Linked DNA regions of Oryctolagus cuniculus. The protein of the gene in region 1 interacts with the protein of each later gene in a biochemical or structural test. Links are inferred from orthologs where the notes say so. Each region holds a gene or a part of one and is shown on either strand. Other genes may lie near its edges. The genes, in order: HNF4A, CREBBP, SREBF2, MED1, NCOA6 and NR0B2.

Region 1 (4,641 bases):
TGCCCATGCTTACACCCCCACCCCCCCACCAGGTTTTATGTGTTAGGACCACTACGCAGGCAGGAAAAATCTCCAGTGTGGTGTCTTCCACTTGGAACGAGACAGTAAACGTTTCGTTTCCTGCCTGGCAATAAAGCTCGCAAAGGGAAATGGACTTCTCTGGAAAGGGTGGGGTGGGAGCACAGGCCCATTGAAGGCTGCCGTGCAGCCCACTCCGCCCCCTGGGAAATTCTCAGCCGTGTTCCGAGACTGCAGCCAGGAGGTGGAGAGCCCGAGAGTGGGGTGACCAGAGTGAGCAGTGGGTTCCCCGCCTCCCTGGCGGGACGCAGGCCAGTCTGAGCCAGTTGGCTACGACTCCTGGGGCGCTGGAGTGAGCGAGGGTGGCTGAGGCAGGCCTGCGACTCTGAGCCGGGAGCAGCAAACATCTGCTGGGACCAGAGTCTGGCTCGGTGGAGCGGGGGAGGCCGCTCCTGACCACTCTGGGGGTGTGGATTCCTCTTCAGCCTAGGGCCCAGTGCCTCTCTGTGCCTCTTTGGTGAACAGTAACAGTGGTGAACGGTGGGCCCTCGCACGCTGCCCCGTAAGCTAGGAAGGGGCACCCCTGGGCGAGAGAACCTGAGAATTCGATGTCCTATGTCATCACACTTCCGGCTTCAGGACACATCCCTGTTATCCCACCAGCCAGTGGCAGTTTCTAGACTCCCCAGAGCCACCAGGATTCTGTATGAATGAAGTGCCATCTGCTCCGCGCCAGGGCTGGATGCTCCCAGGATGCTCCGTGGATGACACAGACCCCACAGCATCCCTCAGACCCAGGCCATCTCACCTCGGCCCTGTCACTCATTCAAACTCTCCCACCCACAGGCGGCCGGGCCATAGGGGCCTGTCCTGCTGGAACCGGATCCCTGCTGCCTGCCCTGACTTGGGGGAGAGACAGCAAAGGGGCGAGGAGCCGGGAATTCCCCTTCCTACTTAGCAGCAAACAGGATTCTGGTCCCTACGTGAGTGTAAGTGCGGCATGAAGCCAATCTTCGTGCTGGGGGTGGGCGGAGCTCCTGAGAAGAGTGAGCTTTTGGTTTCTGAGGCTGGTGAAGGTATCAAGAAGTCAGCTCCACCCTCAGCTCAACCACGGTGGGGACAGAGGGGCCTCTGAGCGCTCCTGTTCGATCAAGGGGGACCAAGTTCAAGTCCTGACTCAGCCACCTACTTACAGTGTAAGCCTCCCCCCCCCCAATAAAGATCACTTAACCTCTTAAGGGTTCATCTTCTGCAATCATGGTTAGCCAACAGGGAGAACGCAATGAGCTGATGCCTGCCAACTGCCTAGGACGGTGCCTAGGAGCAAGGAGACAGTCCTGGGAGACGCTCCCGCCTCGTAGCCCACCCAAGGACTCCCCCACCCCTTCCTCCGCGTCTACAAGCCTCATCGCTCTCACCGGCATTGCATCCTGACCCTGCCTGAGTTCCCTGCTTTCTCCCAACCTTCTAACCTCCACAGGACGGCCATGTTCGTCTTCTGAAATCCCAGCTCGGTGCACAGCCCTGACGACTCCTGGCCTCAGACCGACACTCAAGGCCCCCTGCTCCCCTGCTTGCCCTGTGGACTCGAGAGAGCCTGTTCCGCTCATAGCACCATTCTTCCTGCCTCAGGGGCCAGGCCTTCACCCAGGCTGCTCTCCCTTGGGATACCCCGTCTCACCTGCGCTACCGTTCAGAGCCCTCCCCTCCCTCAAAGGCCTGGTCCTAGTTTCCAAGACAGTCTCCACCCCCCCCACCCAGGTCTCCCCCTGAGGTCCTGTTGCAGCTGTCAGCCTGCGATTGTTCTCTTATTCTGGACCGCCTACAGTGGTCACCCCTCCAAACATCCACCCCAGCCCAGGGAAGGGAAGCGCCCGTGCAGTTGGAAGAGGAGAAGGGTGTGTTTCCTGTGCTCTGCCGAGTCCCAGCCAGTGCTTCTGGAATGTTCCTGAGATGACTTGGGAATTGGTGCTGAGTCTTGCAGAGAGGTGGCTTTGGGGAAGACAGGATGGCTGAGGCCGGTGATAGTGGAGGGTGGAGAGGGCATCTGGGGTTGGGGCAGCAGAAGGGGGAGGGACGAGGTGCTGCCATCTGACAGGGCTCTGCTTCTGGATGCCACGACCACACTGGGAGAGCAGAGATGCCGGTGGAGGAGGCGGGAGCAGCGCTGGAGCAAGGTCCCATAGTGTCCCGGACAGCCGACCTTTGGGGGTGAAGAAGCTGGGGGAGGTGTGGATGAAGGCGAAGGCAGTGGCTTCAACATGGAAAAGTTGTCCAAGGCAGCAGAGGACTCTCCAGCTAAGGGCTCCCCAAGTCAAAGCCCCACCATCCAGGGCTCGGGTGCTAAAGGGTGGCAATGGGCTGTGGCCCTCAGCCCACACTCTTGGGCCCTTTGCCTTTTCCCTTACTGCTCTGGGACTGGCCCTGCTGTCATGCCTCCCTTTGATGTGACCAGGTGATCACCAGGCACTCTCTGAGGGGGCTGGGGGGAGCCAGCAGAGCCCCCGACCCCCGGCCGCTTGCTAGATGACTTCTTGCTTGGTGATGGTTGGCTGGGGGATGGCAGAGGGAGGCTTGACGATTGTGGCGATGGCCCCCGGCAGGAGCTTGTAGGGCTCGGACCCTGAGCCACCTGGTGGTGAGGGCTGTGGAGTCTCAGGGGTGGCTGGAGGGACAAAGAGACAGAGATCGCTCAAGATCCCAGCCTGTGCTGAGCAAATAAACTCTGAGACTTAGTCTCCTCTTCTATAAGTTGAGAACATTAAGCTAGCTAATACTTAAATTAACATAATGAGACCCAAGGCTCACTGGCTTTAAAAATACCACTTCTTTGATATTTAGGAGATGAGCAACAGAAACTAACTGGCTTCATCTCCACTGCAGGTTTAGAGCAAACTCTAACCAAATTGGCCAACTTCATTCACTGGACAATTTTACCCCAAGAACAACCTCGGTGAAATGCCATCTCATCTCAGGGGCTTCCTCTTTCCACTGCTAATCTTATTTTTTGACAGGCTTTCAACAATGATGAACTCATTCTTGGGAGAGTTCACCTCTAACCCAGTGGACATCCCTGTGCGGTGCACTGTCTCCCACCGTGTAATGGATGGCCTTCCACAGCCGGGCAGCTTCACTTCGATGGACAGTTGTCACGAGTGGACTGTGTTACTAATGGAATTCTCTCCAGTAACTATCATCAGCCAGTGGATGATGAAGTGCCATTAATTATTATTCATTATTATTAATTATGTATAATTAATGAGCAGACTGCCTCTCCCCATGATTCCTACCCAATCCGCTCACCCGGTGGATGGCTTCACTCAGTGGAGGTTGTCAGTCACCTCACTGAATAACCCAACAGCCAATCAGCCTCGCCCTTCCCTACTTGGAGCACAGAGGTCTGCTGTATCCAGTGCCGCCTTCTAGCCTTAACCCTCTCCTCTTAGGACCCATCCTCACCCATCCCAAGGGAGAGCCTAGGTTGCCCACCTGCCTGCCCCCTTGGCCGGGGCCACTCACACATCTGTCCATTGCTGAGGTGAGTGGGCATCGTGTTGGCCACAATGACGTTGGTGCCCATGTGTTCCTGCATCAGGTGAGGGTGCAGGGGGTGGTGGGCGTGGGGTGCATCACTGGAGGACCCTGTAGGCAGAAAAGGAAGAAATCAGGGTACAGTGTCTCAGCTGGGACCAACTGGAGGCCCCAAGCACCCCCATCTTCTTCAGGTGTGGCTCATCACCTGTCCATCCAACGTCTTGAGTACCCATTCCTGGGTTAGTAAACTTGGGCTTCATGGGGCATGGAGAGGACCCCAAAATCAAGAGGGCAAAAGTGATTTGAAAGAAACAAGGAAAGGGGGCTGGTGCAGTGGCACAGCAGGTTAAAGCCCCAGCCTGCAGCGCTGGCATCCCATATGGGCACGGGTTCAAGTCCTGGCTGCTCCACTTCTGATCCAGCTCCCTGCTGATGTGCCTGGGAAGGCAGTGGAGGATGGTCCAGGTCCTTGGGCCCTGCACCCATGTGGGAGACCCGGAAGAAGCTCCTGGCTTCAGACTGGCTCAGCTCTAGCCATTGTGGCCATTTGGGAAGTGAACCAGTGGATGGAGGACCTCTCTCTCCGTCTCTACCTCTCTCTGTAACTCTTTCAAATAAATAAAATAAAATAAATAGATAAAAAGAGACCTCTAAAGTCCAGCTGTTTCTGTGATAACCAATAATTAATGAGCACCTATCACATGCCTAGGACTTCTTTTTATTGTACTTTTCATGTTTTACATAATCCAATCCTCACAAAAATCCTGCAAAGTGGGCACCATTATTGCCCTGTTCTTTAACAGGTGAGCTAACAAGCAAAGGGAGATGAGCTTATCCAAGTTCATCTGGCAACAGACCATAAGCTCCTGATCCTGGTCTCACGGACACCTGACTCGCCGTAGCCCATGTTCAGAGTCAAGGTGAGGGTGAAGTGAGCCACATGACACTGGCTCTCCACCTGGGACGACCTCACCAGACCTGAACACAGTTTTCGGCTGTGACCACTTGGGAGGTGCTATTAGCATCTCATGGGTAGAAGCCAGAGATGCAGCTAAACCATGTACAGGACAGTCCCCCCCCTCCCAATCA
Region 2 (4,237 bases), on another chromosome or scaffold:
CGGGAGAGAGAGGAGGGAGGGGAGCCAGCGTCCCTGCCTGGGTCCTCGGGCAGACGGTCCTGTGTGTTAGCGTGCACGCCCCCAGCCCGAGGGGGCGGCCTTGCTGACCACTCTCTTTGCTTGCAGGACTATGACCTGTGCATCAACTGCTACAACACGAAGAGCCACACGCACAAGATGGTGAAGTGGGGGCTGGGCCTGGACGACGAGGGCAGCAGCCAGGGCGAGCCGCAGTCCAAGAGCCCCCAGGAGTCGCGGCGCCTGAGCATCCAGCGCTGCATCCAGTCCCTGGTGCACGCCTGCCAGTGCCGCAACGCCAACTGCTCGCTGCCGTCCTGCCAGAAGATGAAGCGGGTGGTGCAGCACACCAAGGGCTGCAAGCGGAAGACCAACGGCGGCTGCCCGGTGTGCAAGCAGCTCATCGCCCTGTGCTGCTACCACGCCAAGCACTGCCAGGAGAACAAGTGCCCCGTGCCCTTCTGCCTCAACATCAAACACAAGCTTCGCCAGCAGCAGATCCAGCACCGGCTGCAGCAGGCCCAGCTCATGCGCCGGCGGATGGCCACCATGAACACCCGCAACGTGCCTCAGCAGAGTTTGCCTTCTCCTACCTCAGCTCCGCCCGGGACCCCCACGCAGCAGCCCGGCACGCCCCAGACGCCGCAGCCCCCTGCCCAGCCCCAGCCTTCACCCGTGAGCATGTCACCAGCCGGCTTCCCCAGTGTGGCCCGGACTCAGCCCCCCACGACTGTGTCCGCAGGGAAGCCCACCAACCAGGTGCCGGCTGCCCCGCCCCCTGCCCAGCCCCCACCCGCGGCGGTGGAGGCTGCCCGGCAGATTGAGCGAGAGGCCCAGCAGCAGCAGCACCTCTACCGTGTGAACATCAACAGCGGCATGCCCCCCGGGCGCACGGGCCTGGGGACCCCCGGGAGCCAGATGGCCCCTGTGGGCCTGAATGTGCCACGGCCCAGCCAGGTCAGCGGGCCTGGCATGCCCGGCATGCCGCCTGGACAGTGGCAGCAGGCGCCCCTCCCCCCGCAGCAGCCAATGCCAGGCATGCCCAGGCCTGTGATGTCCATGCAGGCCCAGGCAGCCGTGGCTGGGCCCAGGATGCCCAGCGTCCCGCCACCCAGGAGCATCTCGCCCAGCGCCCTGCAAGACCTCCTGCGGACCCTGAAATCACCCAGCTCCCCGCAGCAGCAGCAGCAGGTGCTGAACATCCTCAAGTCCAACCCGCAGCTAATGGCAGCTTTCATCAAACAGCGCACAGCCAAGTATGTGGCCAACCAGCCCGGCCTGCAGCCCCAGCCCGGCCTGCAGGCCCAGCCCGGCATGCACCAGCAGCCCGGCCTGCAAAACCTGAACGCCATGCAAGCGGGCGTGCCTCGGCCTGGGGTGCCCCCCCAGCAGCAGGCAATGGGAGGCCTGAACGCCCCGGGCCAGGCCTTGAACATCATGAACCCAGGACACAGCCCCAGCGTGGCGAGCATGAATCCTCAGTACCGGGAGATGCTGAGGCGGCAGCTACTGCAGCAGCAGCAGCAGCAGCAGCAGCAGCAGCAGCAGCAGGGCGGCGGGGGCGTGGCCGGGGGCGTGGCCGGGGGCATGGCTGGGCACGGCCAGTTCCAGCAGCCGCAGGGACCTGGCGGCTACGCCCCCGCCATGCAGCAGCAGCGCATGCAGCCGCACCTCCCCATCCAGGGCAGCTCCATGGGCCAGATGGCCGCTCAGATGGGACAGCTCGGCCAGATGGGACAGCCGGGGCTGGGGGCGGACGGCACCCCCAGCATCCAGCAGGCTTTGCAGCAGCGGATTCTGCAGCAGCAGCAGATGAAGCAGCAGATGGGGTCCCCAGGCCAGCCGAACCCCATGAGCCCCCAGCAACACCTGCTCTCAGGACAGCCGCAGGCCTCCCACCTCCCCGGCCAGCAGATCGCCACGTCCCTCAGCAACCAGGTGCGGTCTCCAGCCCCTGTGCAGTCTCCGCGGCCCCAGTCCCAGCCTCCACATTCCAGCCCGTCACCGCGGATACAGCCCCAGCCTTCGCCACACCACGTCTCGCCCCAGACTGGTTCCCCCCATCCCGGACTCGCAGTCACCATGGCCAGCTCCATAGATCAGGGACACTTGGGGAACCCTGAACAGAGTGCAATGCTCCCCCAGCTGAACACCCCCAGTAGGAGCACACTGTCCAGCGAACTGTCCCTGGTCGGTGACACCACAGGGGATACGCTAGAAAAATTTGTGGAGGGTTTGTAGCATTATGAGAGCATTGCGTTTGCTCCCGTTCGTGCCCCTGGACTTTTGTACTGAAAATCCAGGCGTCTAGGGCCTTTTTATTCCTAGACGGAACTGCTGCTTCCAAGCCATGGAAGGGTGGATTGATGTTTAAAGAAACAATACAAAGAATATATTTTTTTGTTAAAAACCAGTTGATTTAAATATCTGGTCTCTCTCTCTCTCTCTCTCTCTCTTTCTCTCTCTTTGGTTTTATTTTTTTGTTTTTGTTTTATTTTTGTTGTTGTTTTTTTCCTTTTTGTTTTTGGGGGAGGGGGGTTGGTTTGGATTCTTTTTGTCATTGCTGGTGATTCATGCCTTTTTTTAACGGGAAAAACAAGCTCATTATATTCATATTTTTTATTTGTATTTTCAAGACTTTAAACATTTATGTTTAAAAGTGAGAAGAAAAATAATATTCAGAAACTGATTCCTGAAATAATGCAAGCTTATAATGTATCCCGGTAACTTTCTGATGTTGCGGGAAGATTTTTTTTCTATAGTGAACTCTGTGGGCGTCTCCAAGTATTACCCCTGGACAATAGGAACTGACTCCGGTGTGCACACACGTACACACACCCACACACACATCTATCTATACGTGCTGGCTTAAGCCAAACTCTTGTCTTGCAGATGTAGAAATTGTTGCTTTGTTTCTCTGATAAAACTGGTTTTAGACAAAAAATAGGGATGATCACTCTCTTAGACCATGCTGATGTTAATAGAGAAGAAGCATTCTTTTCTTTCTTCTATGTGAAACTTGAAATGAGGAAAAGCAATTCTAGTGTAAATCATGCAAGCGCTATAATTACTATAAATAAGAAAACTCGAGAAGATTCAATCACTGTATAGAATGGTAAAGAACCAACTCATTTCTTATATCATATTGTTAAATAAACTGTGTGCAACAGACAAAAAGGGTGGTCCTTCTTGAATTCATGTACATGGTATTAACACTTAGTGTTCGGGGCTTTTTTGTTATGAAAATGCTGTTTTCAACGTTGTATTTGGACTATGCATGTGTTTTTTCCCCATTGTATATAAAGTATCGCTTAAAATTGATATAAATTACTGAAGTTTTTAACATGTATTCTGTTCTTTTAAGATCCCTGTAAGAATGTTGAAGGTTTTATTTATTTATATATATTTTTGGAGTCTGTTCTTTGTAAGACATGGTTCTGATCGTTCACTCGGAGTGGAGAGGCGGAGCCTGCAGTCTGGGGGTGGGGGTGGGTGGTGGGGAAGCCCGCCCGGTCTGAGCGGCCGCCTGGGGACGGCGCCCCGCAGCCCTGCGCCGCGGCTGTGAACAGCACTGTGCTTCCAGCTCTCGTCCCCGTCTCCCCTCCCTTCTTAGCCAGCTGCCCCCGTGCAAGGGCTTCCTGCCTTTCTAGCCACAGCGCCTGTTACGGATGCCAAGGGTGCCCCGGGGACCTGGGGTGGTTCCTGTCTCCCCCTGAAACTGCACTCAGCAGTGAGGATGGTGCCAGGCAGACTGTCCCACGTGCCACCAGGACTGAGGGCCCCTGCGCTGTCCTGCGGCTGCCGAGGGGCAGGGTCCTGAGCACTGGCTCCCAGCCCTGCTTGGAAGATGTCCCTGCACACGCACGCTCCCGGAGGGGTCCAGTGACCTGAGTTCACTCAGCACTGGACAGGTCCGTGCTTTGGGGGGGACAGCTGGCAGCAGACGTGGGCCGAGCCTCTGCTTCTGCCCCCCCACCTCCAACACACACTCGGGAGGACTGTCTGCTCTGTCCCTTGTCCTCCAGCCAAAGGCTGGCCTGAGTGGGGCGGGGAGGTGCTGTGGTGTTGAGAAATCACGGCGCAGGTAACCTCCATTTGGCCATTCTGGTCACAGATTTTCAAAAATACTTGAATACCTAACTTGAGAATCAGCCTGAGGAAACTAAGGTGCAATCTAGTTTTAGTTACACAGTTTTGAAACTTGAGTTTTAATAATGTA
Region 3 (4,641 bases), about 100 Mb from region 1:
GACCAGCGTGCTTGGCGGGATCTTCTCCTCTGCACACTCGGCCAGGTTCACAGCGCACAGAGCCATGTGTACGTCCGAGCAGGCGGACCCTGCCGGAAGCTTCCCTAGGGCAGGAAACAGATGCTCATGTTGACAGACCTTCCACAGCAAACTTCTTACTCACTCTACACAGCCGGAGTGACGGCGTTCCCAGAGGAGGGGGTTTTGTGGACAGGCCTGGACAGGGTGCTGGGCACTGTGGCTTCCTGCTGTGTGCACCTGTCCACCTCCCAGGGTGGCTGAGGACATGGCACCCGGCTCTGTGTCACGGGGCTGTCCACATTACTGCACACCGTTTTTTATGCAGTGTCAACAGTATGGCCACATTCTGCTCATACCATCCCAAGTCCCCCGCCAAATTCAGCAGCAGTAACAAACAAAAACCGACTGGGTTTGTTTGTACTTAAAATCCCCAGTTTAGAAGCACACATTTCTTTGAGGGGAGAAGAAATGTAAGACAGCAATGACAGATGCTGGACAGTAGGTGGACGGCCAGGGCACACTCACTACACACTCCCCTGGTGACATAGAAGTCCGGGGACGAGGTGGCCTCGCACAGCCCAAGGGCCCGCCACAGCTCTCCCGAGACTGCATGGCGTCACCTGCTTTGGTCCTCAGCACAGGGCTGGGAGGTGGCACAGGCCAGCGCCAAGGTCCAGCAGCGGCCAGCCGGGGCTCTGGCATCACCCAGGAGGCCCTGTCTCCCTGGTCTTCTCAGCGGCACAGGAGACCTCTGTGCCAGGCTCTGTTCCTACCGGCTGCTGCCTCCCGGCAGGAAAGCAGGGCAGAGGGAATGTGGACCCGTGTTCAGTCCTCTCGGTCCCCGGTGCCTCGCACAGGTTCTGGACCACAAGTGCTGAGAGCTGTGCAGCTTCCCAGCTGGGAGTCTACAGAGCCGGACAGCCGGGAGGCAGAGGCCTGGTGTGGGCCCGTCCTGCCCGCGGGCACACGAAGGCCCGGAGCAGAACAACACAGAAGGCAGCATCTCTCCTGAGGCTCTACACGGGCACAGGTGCTGACGCCGCACGCCGGCTCCACCGCCTCATCTCCTCGGGGCCTGGTTCTGCCCCACTTCCGGCTGAAGCCCCTGGCGGTCAGCAGGCATTTCCAGCCTCCCTGGGACCACTCCTGGCCCTCGTCAGACTTCTCAGCAGCAACCTCCCTCCTCAACCCTCTCGGCCCTCGTCCTTCCAACCCCGGGCATTTGGGGTCTCCTCGGACCTCTCCCACTGCCCCCCACCCCTGGCAGCCTTCACCCCGCCTCCGCGGCCTCTGCCCGCCCCCTGTGTGCGGGTGTCCTCCGGCAGCCCCGGGCAGCTCCCTCGGCTGTCACTCTCACCTGCAGGCCCGAGCCACGCTCTGTCCCGGCGGCAGAGCCAGCACGTCACTGCCTACTGACTTCCCCTCCCATCTCATGGCAGGAGTCCAAACTGGAGTTCCTCGCCTCTTCCCCGGGAACAGCGCTTTCTCCTGCTTTCTTTGCTTCTGTCGTTAGCATTACTGTTCCCCAGTACCCCAGCAAGAGGCCAGGAGCCACGGTAGCCACTCCCCTTCCTTGCCAGGCACATCCACAGTCCAGTCAAGTCCCCCTTGTACCGTCCCTCCGTCAGTCCTCCCAGCGTCTCTCACGTTCAGTCTGGCCGCCCCGACTGCACCCTGCCCCCCACGGGGCCACTTTCCAGCTGTCCCAGAGCGAGCCATCTAAAGGTGAGATGCACCACACAAATCACCCTCCTTCCACCCTCGCCGAGACACTGGCACCGGGATCCTTCGTGGTCCAGGCACCGCGCCAACCTCTGGGACAGGCTCCGCCCGGCAGGCCCACCTCCTGCAAAGTTAGCCACCTCCACACTTCCTCCCACAAAGCCAGGAAGTTTCTTGAACGCTCGGCCTTCCCAGGGACAGCAGGCTCCCGTGCCGAGTCTAACGTACTCAGCACACTGTCACTCACTCGCTGACCGCTCTGCCCTTCCATGAGCTTGGGAGCTTCCTGAATGAAATAAATGATCCTACTTCACTGAACTTAAAATGCCATCAATGTTAAGTCTCACCATTACTCTAAGAATCACTACAGGTAAACCGCCAACGTCACTGTTTATGGGACACCTCCCGTGGGCACCTTACAACCCACAAACCACGGGACTGTGGCTGGACCACCCGCTCTGAAAGATGACAGAGCAGTCAGAGCTTGGGTGGAGACCCGGCAAGCCACCCTGAGGGGCACTCAAGCCAGGAAGGCAGCCTGCCCCACCTGTGATGTGCAGCTGGTGCAGCCTGTGGTAGGCCAGGGCTGCGTCCCGGGCGCTGGTCTTGGCTTCGTCCTCGAAGCCGGCTGCGGTGGCCGGGGGGGCTCGCCGGCGCTGGAAGACCCTCTTGAGCAGCCAGCGCACCAGGCGCAGCTTCTGCAGGCTGTAGCGGATCACGTTCCAGGACAGGCTGCAGGCCAGGTCCAGGCGGGAGGTGGGCAGCGCCCGGCCCAGAACCGACAGGCAGGTCTGTAGGTTGGCGGCGGCAGCTGCGAAATCCCCCTACAAAGCAGCAAGGGGGCTGGGTGTGAGGGTCCTGGTCTGGCTGCAAGACTTCCACGCTCCTCTGCTTCACGGCTACAGAATCCATAACCAGTGAGGAGCATCTGGGGAAGTCCAGGAAGTCACGACAAAGTGGAACCGGCTCTCAGCTCTCCCCAGGGAAGTCCTGCTGATACCCAAGGGACTGCCTCCCGCCTTCCCGCCAACCGGGGCGCTCTGTGAGCAAACGCAGGGGACGTCCGCACGAAGACGGACACAGGAACCCGGACGGCCTGCTCTGCAGGGCCGTGGCCTCTCGGGGCAGTCCCTGGAGTCCTGAGAGAGAAATGCAGACGCGTGGCCCCATCCAGACCCAGTCACAACCCTCGGGGGCGGGGCCTGCGGGGTGAGTCTCATGTCTGCCACATTGGAGACCACGGTTTCAGACCAAACCACAGCTAACCTTTGCTGCCCTGATGGATCTAAGGGGGAGTCTACGGTGCTGCACTGCAGACCCCGCCGGCCACCCCTTAGACTGGGAGGCCGAAGCCCCAGGCCCACTATTTGGTCTTGGGAAACGCAGCACAGTCTCCCCTCCTTACCCCCGACATGAGCTGGTATGGCCCGTGCTTTGCGTCTCCTATGGTTATGGGAGTAGATGAGGGACAGTGGCTGGAGGTGCCCTCCGAGTGACCACCTCTAAGGTGGCAGCAGAACCGACATGGACAGACTGCACGCACCTGCACCCGCCTGTGGACACTGCTGTCCAGGAAACAGCCCCCAGGTCTCATGTACATTTAGGACCCACAGCCCTGGCCACGGCTGACGGACACAGACTGGCCAATGAGGTTCTCAACTGACAGCTGTCGCCTGCACAGGGCAGAGCGGGCGTGTGGCTGGCCGCAGGGAACGTGCCGCCTGCTGCCCTCCTGGGATGTGACTGCTTAGCTCCTCCTCCGGTGCCCTGGGTCGCCCTGGACTCTTCTGCACAGGCTGCCCTGTGTTGACTTCCAGCTCATTTTCTTGTTCCAAAACCTTCCCTGGCTCTCAGAGCACTGGGAATAAAGCCCGAATCAGTTACTAGTGAGGTCCCTCCAACGTGGGCCGCACACCGGCCGCTGTCCCCCACACCCCGGACCCGTCCACCACACAGCCCTTGAGGGCTACGGGCCGGGGAAGGCCATGGATTCACGTGGTCTGGTCCAGGCGAGGCAAGCGCAGGTGGGACTGGAAATTCAATACATCTACAGCAGGCTGATGTCTGAGCTCAAAGTTTTGTATAGTTCCCAGATGATGCTACGAATACCCAGATGGCCCTTAGCACAAACTACGGTCCCCAGCCCTGGCTTGGAAGGCCCTCCTGCCACGCCCACCTTTCTGCCTGCCCCAAGCGCTCTGCCAAGCCTCAGATCCCCCCGTTGAGAAGGCGGCTGCACTGCCTCCACCCGCCACGGCACCTGATTCCTCCCATGGCACAGCACGGATGGGAGATCACCCACCGTCCACCCCTGCCAGGAGCAGGGCCCCTGCCATCTGTACCACAGCCCTTCCCACAGGACCCACCCACACCGGACTCCACACAGGTTGCCGAGTTCTTAGGGAGCCTGTGGAGGAAGCTGAGGGTGGACAGCACTCACCCTGGAGAGGTCCAGGTCCGCCTGCCTCCGGTGCCTCCAAAAGGTGACGGAGGAGCGCGAGTGTGGCCGGATCACCGGCTCCCCGTGGACCAGCAGCTTCACGAAGACGCTCAGGACGATGACCCCATTGACCAGCCACAGCAGCAGCGTCGGCATCACCCAGTCAAGCCAGCCTGTGGGACCTGGGCGTGGCGGGGTGGGGGTGCACTCAGCAAGGGCCCCACGGACCCCGGAGTGAATGCCAGAGCCTCTGCCCCACGGCGGCCCATGGTCTACACGGCACTCCTGTAGCCCTGTCACCGCCACACTGAGCTCCACACGCATCTCTGCTAGCCCCAGAGGATCAGGACGCTGGCTTTCCAACTCAGCCGAGACGCACCACCCCTCCCCCTGCAGACAGGCACACTCCCCCTCCCCCGCCCCCTCCCAGGAACTCCTGCATGGCAGGTTCCTCATTT
Region 4 (5,123 bases), on another chromosome or scaffold:
AGCAAATGGGGATTTTGATGTCCACGGGGGATCTTGGAACAATCCCCCTTAGATAACCAGGATGAATGGATAGCTCCTTCCTAGGTAGGTCCCTGAAAAGCTCCAATATATTCCAGTGTTTTATGATAAATAAATCTGAAGACACTATTGTAGCTAATTTGGACACAGGGAGCTTACTTATTATCTAAGTATAACACTTTACCCACTTGCCACAATCCTCACCATGACTTGCCGCACAAGCTTAATGGTTTCACTCCAAGGTCTATTTTGGTTAAATTTTGCATGAAGCCGTTCCAAGAGAGAACTCATCTTACTCAGCTTTTCCGACTCTACGACATAAATCAGAAAACATCATTAGAAACTCCTTTATCAAGACCTCGTTTTTCTTGGAAAAGAAACCCCCACACAGCCGAATCTAAGAATTGGCTAAACTACTTTTCGATATAATTTCTTCAAACCACATAAAGAAAATATTTTTAAAGGTGAGAAGACACATACCTTATGGGTCTGATAAAAGGAACACCATAGGACATTCCATTCAAGGTTTTAATGGGAACCCAAAAAGGAACCGAGTCTAATCATGATTCACGACCATGCCTACAACTTAGTGACAGTCATTTTCATAACATGCCTGAAATTTCTGTATAATATTTATAGAGAGCATACATTTGAACATGGTCTTACAATGGTTAGCTGATTTTCAATGTGAAAATACTTCCTTAATTTTTGGCCATAATTTTAAGAGATTGGTTGATAAGTATGATCAAGAAAACAGACCCTAATTGCCTATCTGATGTTTCATATTTTTCCATATAGCTAAAATTATATGGACAGGGAAGAAATCAATAACCAAAAGATGAATTTCCAACAGAGGTTAAGAGAAAGGCAGAAAGGATCAGCTCCTGAACTAAGAATATGAATGAACCTCTTAAACCCTTCGAGCCTCCCCTAGTTCTTGAACTGCCATGTATGAGCGAAGACCTGTGCTGGGGCCACTGGAAAGGAACACAAGATATGCCTGAGGAGGGCCGGCGCCATGGCTCAATAGGCTAATCCTCCGCCTTGCGGCGCCAGCACACCGGGTTCTAGTCCCGGTTGGGGCGCCGGATTCTGTCCCGGTTGCCCCTCTTCCAGGCCAGCTCTCTGCTGTGGCCCGGGAGTGCATTGGAGGATGGCCCAAGTCCTTGAGCCCTACACCCGCATGGGAGACCAGGTAAAGCACCTGGCTCCTGGCTTCGGATCAGCGCAATGCGCCGGCCGCAGCGTGCCAGCTGCGGCGGCCATTGCAGGGTGAGCCAACGGCAAAAGGAAGACCTCTCTCTCTCTGTCCACTCTGCCTGTTAAAAATAATAATAATAATAATAATAATAATAACAAGATATGCCTGAGGTGACATCTGTGAGGCAGTGTGATCAAGTTAACATGGGAATTACCATTGGTGCAAAAAGAAATGCTCTTAAAAGCAGAGACATTACTACTGAATAGCAAAGAAGGAAAAGTACATAATCAATATGGAGACATTAAAAAAAAAAAACAGACTGTTGACACTGGCACTGAAAAATAAATAGAAGGTCAGAGTTAAGGCAGCAAGATGATCTCAGTCAAGACTCAGACTCCTTCCTTCACGCCTTCATCTTCTGGAAAACTGGTTTGTAGGCTGCTTCAGCCAGCTGATTGCTCTGGGCACATTCCTATTTCCCACTATCAAGCCATTCATTCAAGCACAATTGTATGTGCTGCAGACACAGTAGTAAGCAAACCATACAAAACTCCTGCCTGATGGTGTTTCCACTTTACACCCAAGGGACACACATTTCTTCTCCTTCAAATCACACCCCTTTTTTTTCTTGAGAAGCATTCTGTAAAACGTCCTTAGTCTGAAACTCAAATCAAACATTTTCTGAGCAACTACTATGTGCCAGAGATTATACAGAGATGAATAAGGGAGCCGGTGTTGTAGTATCGCGGGTGAAGTCACCACCTGGGATGCTGACAACTCATATGGGCAAAGGTTCAAGGCCCAGCTGCTCCGCTTCCAATCCAGCTCCCTGATGGTGCACCTGGGACAGCTGCGGAGGATGGCCTCAGAGAGTGGCCCCCTGCACGCATATGGGAGACGCTGGGGAGGCTCCTGGCTTCGGCCTAGCCCAGCTCCAACTATTGCGGTCATTTGGGGAGTGAACCAGCAGGTAGAAGATTTTTCTCTCTCTGTAACTCTGCCTTTCAAATAAATACATCTTTAAAAAAAAAAAAAATGAATAGGGCAGCCCCCTGATCTACAAAGCTCAGAACAAACTGGAAGGATGAACAATGATAATAAAGTAAGCTGTGATTGAAAGTGCAGTGTGGAACTCCAGAGAATCGGAGTAAAAATTTCCATAGAAAAAGTCGTTTTCAACAGTTCTAAATCAGTCCGGCCACCGATGGGAACACTGTGACTTTTAGGAAGTGCAGGCATTTTGTATCCTCAGGACCAAATCACATCATTCACATCAAAATACTCTCCAGTACTTTTAGATACACGGTTCCGTATGGCTGTTTTTAGGCCATTATTCAATGGTCTCTTCCGGAATGAGTTGCAAACAGCTAATATATTCACTCGCCTGATCTTCCACCACTTTAGGCTAAAAGTGCCCAGAAGCCCCAGGTACTGTCTCTATATAAAAAGGAAATCTTCACCCAAGTTGGGAGCCCCCACCACCCTAAGTCAGCGCTCTATCACCATCAAGGAAGGCATGATGAGCATCTAAGACACACACATCCCGCATCCTGGACTCAGTGCCCCCGCGAAAGCGGCCCCCACGGGGCATCGGCCCCCACCTCCTCGCCCAGATTGGCTGCCCCCAGTTGAGTCCCGCCCCCTCCTTTCCCCCACTGTCACTCACCCTCGGTTTCCCCCTGAGCCTTCATCCTGACGACGGGCAGGGCCTGGGTCCGCCACAAGAGGAGAAGCCCGTTCCTTCCACTAATGGGAGAGCCACGTTAGTTCGGGCTCCCGGGACGCAGGGCACCAACAGTCCCTACTCTTCCCGGGAAGGCTCAGTCTGAAGTCCCCGGTGGCAAGAAGAGAAGGGTGCCTGCGGCCGCCGCCATCTTCCCCAACGGAACTTCCTAAAGCTCGCGAGATAAACCGTGATCCTGCGCGAGAAAGGAAGCGACGGGATACTGAAGTCTCGCGAGAGGTGAATGACGTACTTCCGCGAGATTTCTTCCAAATCCGGCTGTCTCTTAGCTCTTGGGTACTTCGTTCTGAACTTGCGAGCAGGTAGAGTTCGGTTGTTGTACGAAAACTTGCATTTTCATTTTAGCCGTTAGTTTGGAAACTAAACCCACAGAACCCCTTTTTTTTTACAGGCTAGATTTTCAAAGAATACTGGTATCTGAAATGTTTTATCAAATACAGTAGAGTTTCCCTTATATGCTAGATGCAGTAAAACTGTCATAAAAACACTGGCTCTTTGTAACACGACATTTGAAGGCTGCCTAGGACACTTAATTACCATTTTCTAATATTTTTTAAGTTTCAGGAATATTTCTTGAGCAGTTGCAGCAGTTTTGAAAATCTGAAGTGCTTTGGATTAAAATAAACTTGTTCTCAGCAGCAAGTGCATGTTATCACTGTGTCTTGGTGGAAACATGCAGTTTAGCTTGTATCTCCACTGCAGATCACAGTGTGTAGTCTTCTCTCTTGTGTCAATAAATCCTCATGAAGAGAAATCCATAGCAATGCTGGCAAGTGCATGGCCACTGGAGCTTAAAGGCTACTTTTAAAAAGAATTTTCTCATATACATCCTTCAAAAATGCGGCTGGAAAGTAGGATCTTACCTAGTTTTCTGCAAGAATATTAAGCAATGAATTTCTTTTTTATTTTTAAGATTTATTTATTTGAAAGGTAGAGTTACAGAAGCAGAGAGAGAGGTCTCCCATCTGCTGGTTCACTCCCCAAATGTCCACAACTGCTGGACCTAGCCAATCCAAAGCAGGAACCTGAAGCTTCTTCCAAGTCCCCCTGCTGCCCTCCCCCCCCCTCCACGGGTGCAGGGGCCCAAGGACTTGGGCCATCTTCTGCTTAAGCAATGAATTTCTACTGACTGTAGTCTCAGATTTTTTCCACATTTAAAAAATAGCATTCACATATCCAGAGCCATCTCAGCAAATAACTGCAATTCAACTGAGTAGGCACAGCAGTATAAATTTGATAAAAAAAAAAAAAAATAACCTGGCAACTTGTTTCTTTACTGCCACAAAGGTAATTATAACATTCCCTTGAAAATAGGATTACACTTTTATTGTTTTTTTCCTCTTATCGTCATTCTTTGGAGTCATATTATACATAGTGAATTTCGTAGGGGCAGAAATGGCCCCGTGTTACTGAATCATCACTCCCTAGCACTGTACCTAGGCCTGGTAGCCAATCTTACTGGCTTACCAAGCCTGTCTAGATCCAGCTTTTCTGCCTGTCCCAATCCCCAGCATACTGACTTTCCCTCATTTGGAGGAGAATTCCTGCATTCCTCCCAAGGTCCTTCTACAGGCCTTTCTAACTGCTGGGAAGCCTCCCCTTTATCCAACCCTTTCAGCTCTCATTCAAATCTAAGTTAAATGTTTGTTCCAAAGTGGGCATTTGCATCCTAACGTCAGAGTACTTGGTTCCTTGAAAGCAGACTAACAGTGCTCCACTTGAGTTGGGATTAACAGCATATTTTCCAGGCAGGTGTTCGGTGCAGTGGTTAAGAGATGCCCAGGGATGCACACATATCATATCAGAGTACCTGGTTTTGAGTCCTGGCTCTACTTATAATCCAGTTTCCTGCTAATGCACACCCTGGGAGGCAGCAGATAATAGCTCAAGTACTTGGGTCCCTACCACCACCCTGATTGAATTCCTGGCTACTGGCTTTGCCCAAGCCATTTCATGCATTTGGGGAGTGAACCAGCAGATGGGAGCTCTCTCTGTCTGCCTCTCAAATAATTAAGTAAAGTTTTTTCCCTTTAGGCAAGAAAGGCAAGACTTTCTGATCCCTGATTTGAGGTCCTGTGTTGCATCATTTCAAACTTTAACCAAATCTTTTTTTTTATTATTTTATTTATTTGAAAGCCAAAGTGACAACAGCTGCTCTGG
Region 5 (4,641 bases), about 8.7 Mb from region 1:
CTCTGTGTCTCTCTGCCTTTCAAATAAACATTAAATGGGGGGAGATAATGCAAGTAGCTATAGCAAAACCCCAAAGACTCAACAATAGATAAGCACTGAAGCAAGGTAGGCAGTACCTTTTGTCTAAATTAGAAATACCTGAAAAAATAGAATGTATCCCCTGTAATCCACCAAGGACTGCCACAGGGAGGGTCACTGAATTTTTTGAATGATTCCTTTATTTTTTCACAAGCAGAGTGACAGAGAGAGATGGAAGAGACAGGAAGAGAGGTCTTCCATCCACTGGTTCACTTCCCAATGTCCTTAACAGCCGGGTCTGATCCAGACCAAAGCCAGGAGCCTGGAACTCCATCCAGGTCTCCCACATGGGTCAAAGGGGCTCAAGCACTTGGGCCATCTTCGGCTGCCTTCCCAGGTGCATTAGCAGGAAGCTGGACCAGAAGTGGAGCAGCTGGGACTCAAACCAGCACTCTAATATGGGGTGTCAGCATTGCAGGTGGCAGCTTAACCTGCTGTGCCATAGCACCAGCCCCATGTGTTTTAACAGCCTTCTGTTTGCAGCTTCCAGGTGGGTTTCTAGTCAGTAGACAACCACCAGAGGCTCAGCTTCCAGATCAGGATTAAGTAATTTTTTTTTTACTTAGTCCTTAGGAATTATTTGATGTTCATTGAAGTACAGCATCCAGATATTGCACCCTACCTTTGAAATTCATTATTAGTTTTCTAAGAAGCATTTTTAAGTGTCTTCTCAGTACTGTTTTCCTAAAATGACATGGCACATTCTTTGTTTCCCTGGTCATTTATGCAGAACTTATTTCACTAGCTTAAAGTGCTTTTTGTTAATTTTTTTCACTTTCAGTAGCTGTAAGTCAAGCTAAAACAATGAGATGCTGCCTTTATTTAATGTGAAAGAAAATAAACTTTAGTGCTTTTTAAAATATTACCTTTAAGTTACCACACAGGAATTAAGAACTTGTTTATCCTTCTCTGATGTATGATCATTGAGAATGTAAATAATTTTCTGGAGTCACTTCTCTAGGAAGCTCACAGAAAGTATGTCAAAAATCACATTTATATTGGTCAGTGGATATATGACTATTGGATATCTTCCAGAGTAAAGTAATTTGAGTATCTTAATATCAATACCATCATATTTCTTTCTGAAACTGTTTCTTTTCTTTTTTTAAAGGTGGTCAAGGAGCTGGTCCTCCTCAAAACCAGATGCAGGTGTCCCATGGGCCACCAAATATGATGCAGCCCAGCCTTATGGGAATTCATGGCAACATGACCAACCAGCAGGCTGGCAGTTCTGGGGTTCCTCAGGTGAACCTGGGCAATATTCAAGGCCAGCCCCAACAAGGCCCACCATCTCAGCTGATGGGCATGCACCAGCAGATTGTGCCCTCCCAGGGCCAGATGGTCCAGCAACAAGGAACTTTGAACCCTCAGAACCCTATGATTCTTTCAAGGGCCCAGCTTATGCCACAGGGCCAGATGATGGTGAACCCTCAGAACCAAAATCTTGGACCCTCACCCCAGAGGATGACTCCACCCAAGCAGATGCTTTCCCAGCAGGGCCCACAAATGATGGCATCACATAACCAGATGATGGGGCCTCAGGGGCAAGTTTTGCTCCAACAGAACCCAATGATAGAGCAGATCATGACCAATCAGATGCAGGGGAATAAGCAGCAGTTTAACACTCAGAACCAATCCAGTGTCATGCCGGGACCAGCGCAAATTATGAGGGGACCAACTCCAAACATGCAAGGAAACATGGTGCAGTTTACGGGACAGATGTCAGGACAGATGCTGCCCCAGCAAGGGCCTGTGAACAACAGTCCATCTCAGGTTATGGGGATTCAGGGGCAGGTCCTGCGGCCTCCAGGGCCCAGCCCACACATGGCCCAGCAGCATGGTGATCCTGCCACTACAGCAAATAATGATGTCAGCTTGCCTCAGATGATGCCTGATGTTAGCATGCAACAGACCAACATGGTCCCCCCCCACGTACAGGCCATGCAGGGAAACAGTGCCCCAGGAAACCACTTCTCAGGCCATGGGATGCCTTTCAATGCACCTTTCAGTGGAGCACCTAATGGAAATCAGATGTCCTGTGGTCAGAATCCAGGCTTCCCAGTCAATAAGGATGTCACACTAACAAGCCCATTATTGGTCAACTTATTGCAGAGTGACATCTCTGCAGGCCATTTTGGGGTAAACAATAAGCAAAATAATACCAACGTGAATAAACCGAAGAAGAAGAAACCCCCTCGGAAGAAGAAGAATAGTCAGCAGGATCTAAAGTAGGTTGTGACAAAGTTAACTTTGTCCTCTTCTGTTTGTGACAACTCTGATGAAAATTTTTAGACGTAAAATCAGTATAATGAGATCTCCCTGCATCAACAGTTATCAACTCATCACTTTTTGTGCCCTCATCTGTGTTCTTTCCCATTGCTTTCTTGATTATTTTAAAGCATATTCATGTTGTGAATGGTTAAGTGTGTATGTCTTAAGAGATAAGGACAGGCTTTTTTGTGTGATCAATCACACAATACCATTTGTACACCTAGAAAACTAATATTTCTTTTTCTAAATTCTGCTGTCTCAGCGTGGTTGTGGCTAACCAGTGCTACTTCAGTGCAGCTTCCCGAAACACAGGCCTATAATGGGAACCAGAAAGGCCAAATGTGCTTTGAAAATGAAAACTGCTTTTGGAGACTCTGCACTGTCTCTCAAATAGAAATGCTGTTTTACACAGTGCCTTCCCTTTAAAGGCCGTTTATAAAAAAAAAAAAAAAAAATGCCATTTATCTTTCCTAGAAGCTTAAGACCCCCGGCCAAGAGGACCTTTTAAATCAGTTACTCCTTCAGTAATGGTTCTCCAGTGAGTTCTACAAGATCACAGCAGGAAGGGCAATTAACAATTTATATTTCATTTCCTGAAACTAAGTATTATTTAAGTCATGTTTCTGGCTTTGATAAAATGTCTCCAGAAGGAATATTGATTGAGTTGAATTTTCTGCCTTTAATTATAAGACTGGAATTCAGATATTTATTAATAGAAACTAGTGACTACTGAATGCAAAACTGATTAAACAAATTTCTGTAACTGTAGAAAAAGAACAGGGCATCTTTATTTAAACAAGCTTAGATGTTCAAATAACACCAACTGCCTTTATACCAGCCTTCCCAGACGTTTGTGGTTATGCTCTGCTTCTTGAATCTTATATATTAAAAGCCATTTGTTGTATGTTAACAACCTATATTTTCTTTTTTAAGATTTATTTATTGATTCGAAAGTCAGAGTTACACAGAGAGAGGAGAGGCAGAGAGAGAGAAAAAAAGAGAGGTCTTCCATCTGCCGGTTCACTCCCCAATTGGCTGCAATGGCAGGAACTGCGCCGATCTAAAGCCAGGAGCCAGGAGCCTCCTCTGGGTCTCCCAAGTGGGTGCAGGGGCCCAAAGGCCCTGGGCCATCCTTCACTGCTCTCCCAGGCTACAACAGAGAGCTAGACCAGAAGTGGAGCAGCCAGGCCTCGAACCAGTGCCCGTATGGGATGCCAGCGCTTCAGGCCAGGGCATTAACCTGCTGCGCCACAGTGCCGGCCCAACAACCTATATTTTCATGAATTCAGACTAACTAAGCCCTTTAATTATCTAATTTTTCTGCCTGCTCCCACATCTATCACTAGCACACTGTAGAACCTTTGGCTTGTCTCTCACAGCTTTCTGGGCTTTTTGTTTTATCAACCATAGCTTGAAAGGGGTGGGACCAGATATCTGGAATTTTTTAGCTATATAATTCTCTGAAAGTAAAGGTTATAGAATTACTATAATTGGAAATGAGAGAAGATATATGAAGAAGCAGATTATTGTAAGGATCTGAATGTGTAGGGACCTGATTCAGGTTCTAAATTTCTATATGCTGAGAATTCATTTATTACTTTAGCAGAGAGAGAGAGCTCCCATCCACTGGTTCATTTCCCCAGATGCCTGCAACAGTTCAAAACTGGATGCTGGGAAGTCAGTCTAGGTCTCTTAGTGAGTGGCAGGAACCTGATTATTTGGGCCATCACCACTGCCTTCTAGGGTATCCATTAGCAGAAAACTGGAGGCACTCCAGTATGAACCATGGACATCTTAACTACGAGGCCAAACACCCAACCCTGCTAAGGCTTTTAAGATAGAATCTATGTGGCTTGTGAAACTACACAGAATATAATGAGACAAAATACTTTCTAAAAGTGGGTGACCAGGGGCAGGCATCCCATATGGAATTTCTGGGTTAAAGTTCCAGCTCTACTCCTAATTCCAGCTTCCTGCTAATGCACACCTTGGGAAGCAGCAAGTAGTTGGATTCTTGTCACCCATGTGGGAGATCTGGATTGAGTTCCTGTCTCCTGACCTCCTAACTTCAGTTATTGAGGTCATCTGGGGAATGAACCAGAGGGTGGAAGACATCAGTCTCTTGTTCTTGCTCTCCCCCTGCCTTTCAAATAGGTTTTTTAAAAATAAAAATTTCAAAATAAAAATAGGTGACTGAAATGAGGGCCAAGGAAAGAAAAGCTGGAGGTGGTAAAGAAAGGTGCAGGTAGGAGTGGGATTACTAACAAAGTAAAAGATGTCAATACTCTGGTT
Region 6 (5,122 bases), on another chromosome or scaffold:
ACCCTGGTATCCTATACCCAGTGCTGGTTCAAGTCCTGGCTGCTCCACTTCCTATCTATCTCCCTGCTAATGCACCTAGGAAAGCAGCAGAAGATAGCCCAAGTACTTGGGGTCCTTGCCATCAGTGTGGGAGACCTGGTTGGAATTCCAGGCTCCTGGCTTCTGCCTGACCCAGCTCCAGCCATTGGGGCCATTTGGGTAGTGAACCAGCAGATGGAAAATCTCTAAATAATAAATAAATAAATAAATAAATAAATAAATAAATAAATAAATATTTTAAAAAGACACTTTTTGATCAACCATGCAAGAGGAAAGATAAAATCACTTCTCTATTCTCACTGTAGAAAATAGTTTTTTAAAAATGATTGCCAGCCCCCCCCCCCCCGATCATGGGGTTATTCTCTAAGAGATTGATCCAGAGCTCTCTGATGAACTGGTTGATTCCAGGGACTGGGGAGGTTGATATCAGAAAACAAAGGAAGGTTCCAAGAATGCTGAGAGCAGATCAGGAGGGGGCTATCAAAGGCCAAATCTGTGACAATCTGGGCATCAAAATAGATAATGAAGGGAGGGTGTTGTGGCACAGGGCGTTAAACCACCACTTAGGACACCTGCATCCCGTATCAGAGTGCCTGGTTTAAGTCCTGGCACACTTCCAATTCAAGTCCCTGCTGAGGTCCCTGGGAAGCAGAGGATGATGGCAGGTGGCTGGCCAGGGTGGGCTGGGCAAGGTCTAGAGACCTCCTCACTCTCTCTCTCTCTAGCCCCATTGGCTACCGTCTGAGACGGATGTCAGGATGGAGGAGCCGTGTGGAAGTAGAGCGCCGTTTCTGTCCCAATCACAAGCAGGCCTGGCCCCACTCTGGGGGACTCAGGCCCTGGCTGCACAGTTGAGCCGGTGCGTCCCGAGGAAGGAGCCAGGACTTTAGGGTCAGGCAGCTCAGGGTCCCATTCCTTCCTGGAGGGATGGCTTTGGACACGTCACGTCACCCCTTTGGGTCTCACAAAGGAAGAATCCGGAGTCAACACTAGCTCTCAATATTGGATCGGAAGAGGCCTGGCCCCCAGCAAGTGCTCAATACAGGCAGCTGTGGTTTGTGCTCATTCTGGAAGGACTTTTCCGCAGCCATGACCTTTCAGGAGCTCTAGGTATCCAAAACTGGGACAGGGGAGTCTGCAGCATTGGGTTTCTGCAGGGCCCCCAGAACTGGAGTCAAAGGAGGGGCCACACAGCACAGTGGGCAAAGTCCTCCCAACCCCCCCACCAGGGTCCTGGCTCCCTTCCCCACAGCCTGTTTCTTACCAACAACACGAGCAGGGCCCCAAGGTTAGGCAAACAAGCTAGTGATAAGGCACTTCCAGGCTGGGCCTCGCACTCAAGGCTCGTCCAGCTCCAGAGCTGGCTTCCAGGCTTAGCAAGAGCACTGGCCTTGTGCACACGCAGGAGCAGGCACCTTTAGGGACACCAGCCACAGCCACATGCTGATTGTGCACCGGAGGCCTTGGTGCCCTGGTACAGCCTGGGTTAATGACCCTGTTTATCCACTTGAGTCATCCGATAAGAAGCAACCGGTCAGCAGGCAGGTGGCCCTGTGCCCCGCACTGGCTACTTCATTGACTGAAGTGATATCAGCGCCACGTGGAGCTCCTAACGGCCCCGCCCTCGCCACTTCCCCATCAGTCCTGCCAGGGTCAGTGTGCGTGTGCGTGTGTGTGTGTGTGTGTGTTTCAATGAACATGACTCCTGGAGTCAAGGTTGCTGGCCCATTCCTCCCTCCTGCCCACTGGGGATATAAATAGCGCTCGCAGCACAGCACAGAGGGCAGAGAGCAGGGAGGCAGTAGGAGTGGAGCCGTGACCATGAGCTCCAGCCAACCAGGGGCCTGCCCGTGCCAGGCCGCCGCAGGCCGCCCGACCATTCTGTATGCACTGCTGAGCCCCAGTCTCAGGGCCAGGCCCTCTCTCCCTCCATCACGCAGCCACTGCCTGTGCAGGGAGCATCGGCCCGTCCGGCTCTGCAGCCCTCATCGCACCTGCCGGGAGGCCCTGGACGTTCTGGCCAAAACAGTGGCCTTCCTCCGGAACCTTCCGTCCTTCGGCCGCCTGCCGCCCGAGGATCAGCGGCGGCTGCTGCGTGGCGGCTGGGGCTCCCTCTTTCTGCTGGGTTTGGCCCAAGACATGGTGACCTTCGAGGTGGCTGAAGCCCCTGTGCCCAGCATACTCAAGAAGATCCTGCTGGAGGAGCCCAGCTGTGGGGCCAGCAGTGGCCAGCTCCCCGACAGGCCGCAGCCCTCGCTGGCTGCCGTGCAATGGCTGCAGTGCTGCCTGGAGTCCTTCTGGAGCCTGGAGCTGGGCCCCAAGGAATACGCCTACCTGAAAGGAACCATCCTCTTCAACCCTGGTGAGCTTCCAGACACTTCTGGGTGGAGCTGGGAGGGGGCACGGGGCACCCTCCGAGGGCTCAGTATCTATTATACTACTGGGTCCCACAGGGCCATCTCACACGAGGGGCTGAGTGGCTAGCAGGTGGGAGCAGAGCAGGCGTGAGAACTCGGGCCGGGCCGGGCCCCCTGACCCTTTGAGGGGAGGGCGGCTGACACAGCCGCGTCTCAGCACGCTCTCAAGGGCAGGTGGCGTGGCGAAGCTTTGAAGGCTAAACTCCCGTGTGGGGTCAGAAAGTTCCCATGGCGGGGGGGATGGGGTGGGGTGGGGTGGAGAATGAAGGAGGTGCGGGGGAGGCAACTCAGCGGGGAGGGCTACAGATAGAGATGGAGATGGTGTCCTTTGTAATCTGGGGGCAGCTGAGGAAAGCGTGCCATGCCAGAAGGTCCTTGTGCCCACTGACTGCCCTCCCCGCAGCAGAACCTCATGGTGTGGTTACCATACGGACCTTTAGATGCGCTAACTCCTTTAACCCTCACGGCAAGTCTTGGAGACAGGTGCGGTCATTATCATCTCCACTATACAGATAAAGAAACTGAGGCACAGAGATTAAGCACCCTGCCCAAGGTCACTCAGTCATCAATGATGGTGCCAGAAATCCAATCCAGGCAGCCCGGTCCTTAACCCTTACCTTATATGGCCTCGCTGTCGATGGATAGATAAATAAAGTGATAAAGAAATCGATGGAGGAGGTAGTAGCGGAGCCTTGAAGGCTGAGCCGACGAGGCAGGTGATGCCTGCTGGTGGCGGGGAGAGGGTGCTTACCAGACCTGTCCGTCCTCTCTGCTCACAGGCGTGCCAGGCCTCCAGGCCACCTCCCATATCGGGCACTTGCAACAGGAGGCCCACTGGGCGCTGCGTGAAGCCCTGGAGCCCTGGTGCTCAGCAGGCCAAGGCCGCTTGGCCCGAGTCCTTCTCACGGCCTCCACCCTCAAGTCCATTCCGGCCGGTCTGCTCGGGGACCTCTTCTTCCGCCCCATCATTGGAGACCTGGACATCGCCGGCCTCCTGGAAGACATGCTCCTGCTGAGGTGACATGCTGTGGCCCAGGCAGGGGTCAGCCATAGCCTGTGCAGACGCTGGCCATGCCACTTCAGCCTGCCTGTCCCCAGGGGTGCCCCGCTGCTCCTGCACAGCCCCTCTCTCAGCCACCTCCGGACTGGGACTTCCTTGGCATGGACGTGGCGCTCCAGCTGTCTGGCAGGCCCTCTGTGGTCTCCAGAGGCTCTGCGCCCAGACTCCTGTCCCCTCCTGCTGATGGCAAAGGACTGAAGCTGCTCTTTGGGCCGGGGGAGTCCTGCTGGCTTTGTACAGAACTGAATTTAAGTTATTGGTTTTTGTAATAAAAGGTGTGACACTCTCCGAGCCTGCCACTGTGTTTTGGGCACACGACAGGGACTGTCTCACCTCCAGGGCCCACCTGCTCCTATCAGAGGAGGGCAGGGGTCGTAAGGGGCACAGGAGCCAGGCCTCAGGAAACGGGGGTGTGAGTTGTTCTGGCTGGGATGGCGATTTCATCTCTGAGATGAGATTCATTTTGCATGTGGGGGAGTTCTCAGCACACAATGTCACCTCCTTGCCTTTATCCTTGGAGCGAGAAGGCTCTTCTCCCTGTCCCACGCCTTCCACTAACCCGTCTCTCAGCGCCCGAGCCCTGCAGACTCCCTCTCTCCTCAGTGAAAGTTGGATCAGAGCCGGTCAGGAAGCAGCCTGTTCCCAAATTGAAACAGACCAGGTGACTGCAATGTCTGCAGCTTGGGACCCGTCACTTGGCCCATTCCTGCAGCTGGTAGCACAGGGGGGTCCATTATTTCCCAACAGGAGAGGGCAATGGCACCCGGGGCTGGCCTGGCAGCTACTTGGAGGCCAGGGCAGGCCAAGGTTCCGCTGGCTCACGATGGTGTGGCCTCATCTGTTGTTGGAGTCTGAAACACTTCCGCAACAGTTGGTTCAGGGCCACCACCTGTAGCTCCCTGAGTGCCCTCGCACCGCCCCTCTCCCATTATCTGTTAACCCAAGAGCCAACGCGTGCCATAGCCATGGCCTCTGCACTGCTTCATTCAGAGCCGGGCTTGGGGCTGTTCCGATCAGCCAGTGTCTGTGCCTCATCGTTCGTTAAATATTTGAACCCACTCTCCCCGGGGTCAGGGTGACTGACCTGAAGGGTGGACAGGAGGGAGCGATGACAACACCCTCGCCCGCGGGACTTCCAGGCCTCCTTTCCCCAGCAATGAGGCTGCCAGGCCCCGCCCCCATCACCACCACAGTTTGGATTCTTCTCACGGGGGCTGTTAATTATTGCCCAGTGAGAGGTCATTCACTTGGGGACAGCAGCCTGGGGGGTCATCATCCAGGCCTTTCTCTAGGGCCTCCTGCTGGGACCACAGCCGAAGTTGCCTGTAGGGGTGCCCAGTGCCAGCAGCAAGCAGCAGCACCCCGTCCCTTACCCAGCACCCCACATACACACACACACAAGTCAGGCACCAGAAAGACACAGAAGCACAGAGCTCCAACCACACAACCAAGACCCACGTAACTCAGCCCCGCAGCTCTGCTACACACACACACACACACACACACACACCCCAAGACGTACAACTCAGACCCACCCCAGCAGGCCCATGACACTGAGCCTCCATCTGCCTACACACACACTCACTGGGAAACACACAGGAGCCCC

What was found.
Region 2: the proteins of HNF4A (region 1) and CREBBP form a complex in vitro, tested with the Homo sapiens proteins (4 studies listed by BioGRID, with this or other methods). The link is inferred for Oryctolagus cuniculus from reciprocal best matches to the Homo sapiens genes HNF4A and CREBBP.
Region 3: the proteins of HNF4A (region 1) and SREBF2 form a complex in vitro, tested with the Homo sapiens proteins (2 studies listed by BioGRID and IntAct). The link is inferred for Oryctolagus cuniculus from reciprocal best matches to the Homo sapiens genes HNF4A and SREBF2.
Region 4: the proteins of HNF4A (region 1) and MED1 form a complex in vitro, tested with the Homo sapiens proteins (2 studies listed by BioGRID). The link is inferred for Oryctolagus cuniculus from reciprocal best matches to the Homo sapiens genes HNF4A and MED1.
Region 5: the proteins of HNF4A (region 1) and NCOA6 form a complex in vitro, tested with the Homo sapiens proteins (2 studies listed by BioGRID). The link is inferred for Oryctolagus cuniculus from reciprocal best matches to the Homo sapiens genes HNF4A and NCOA6.
Region 6: the proteins of HNF4A (region 1) and NR0B2 form a complex in vitro, tested with the Homo sapiens proteins (4 studies listed by BioGRID). The link is inferred for Oryctolagus cuniculus from reciprocal best matches to the Homo sapiens genes HNF4A and NR0B2.

What each region holds. Positions count from the first base shown.
Region 1 is NC_091442.1:14,692,587-14,697,227, forward strand, and holds part of HNF4A (hepatocyte nuclear factor 4-alpha), read right to left. Parts: intron 3,661-4,641; coding exon 3,508-3,660; intron 2,684-3,507; coding exon 2,541-2,683; 3' UTR 1-2,540. UniProt on the Homo sapiens protein: Transcriptional regulator which controls the expression of hepatic genes during the transition of endodermal cells to hepatic progenitor cells, facilitating the recruitment of RNA pol II to the promoters of target genes. Activates the transcription of CYP2C38.
Region 2 is NC_091450.1:31,799,241-31,803,477, forward strand, and holds the end of CREBBP (CREB-binding protein), read left to right. Parts: intron 1-126; coding exon 127-2,259; 3' UTR 2,260-3,361; downstream 3,362-4,237. UniProt on the Homo sapiens protein: Acetylates histones, giving a specific tag for transcriptional activation. Mediates acetylation of histone H3 at 'Lys-18' and 'Lys-27' (H3K18ac and H3K27ac, respectively).
Region 3 is NC_091442.1:117,807,069-117,811,709, reverse strand, and holds part of SREBF2 (sterol regulatory element-binding protein 2), read right to left. Parts: intron 4,366-4,641; coding exon 4,184-4,365; intron 2,568-4,183; coding exon 2,291-2,567; intron 105-2,290; coding exon 1-104.
Region 4 is NC_091448.1:22,905,242-22,910,364, reverse strand, and holds the start of MED1 (mediator of RNA polymerase II transcription subunit 1), read right to left. Parts: upstream 3,133-5,123; 5' UTR 2,911-3,132; coding exon 2,886-2,910; intron 330-2,885; coding exon 223-329; intron 1-222. UniProt on the Homo sapiens protein: Component of the Mediator complex, a coactivator involved in the regulated transcription of nearly all RNA polymerase II-dependent genes.
Region 5 is NC_091442.1:23,351,017-23,355,657, forward strand, and holds part of NCOA6 (nuclear receptor coactivator 6), read left to right. Parts: intron 1-1,189; coding exon 1,190-2,306; intron 2,307-4,641. UniProt on the Homo sapiens protein: Nuclear receptor coactivator that directly binds nuclear receptors and stimulates the transcriptional activities in a hormone-dependent fashion. Coactivates expression in an agonist- and AF2-dependent manner.
Region 6 is NC_091438.1:144,600,294-144,605,415, forward strand, and holds NR0B2 (nuclear receptor subfamily 0 group B member 2), read left to right. Parts: upstream 1-1,586; 5' UTR 1,587-1,860; coding exon 1,861-2,401; intron 2,402-3,235; coding exon 3,236-3,477; 3' UTR 3,478-3,802; downstream 3,803-5,122. UniProt on the Homo sapiens protein: Transcriptional regulator that acts as a negative regulator of receptor-dependent signaling pathways. Specifically inhibits transactivation of the nuclear receptor with which it interacts.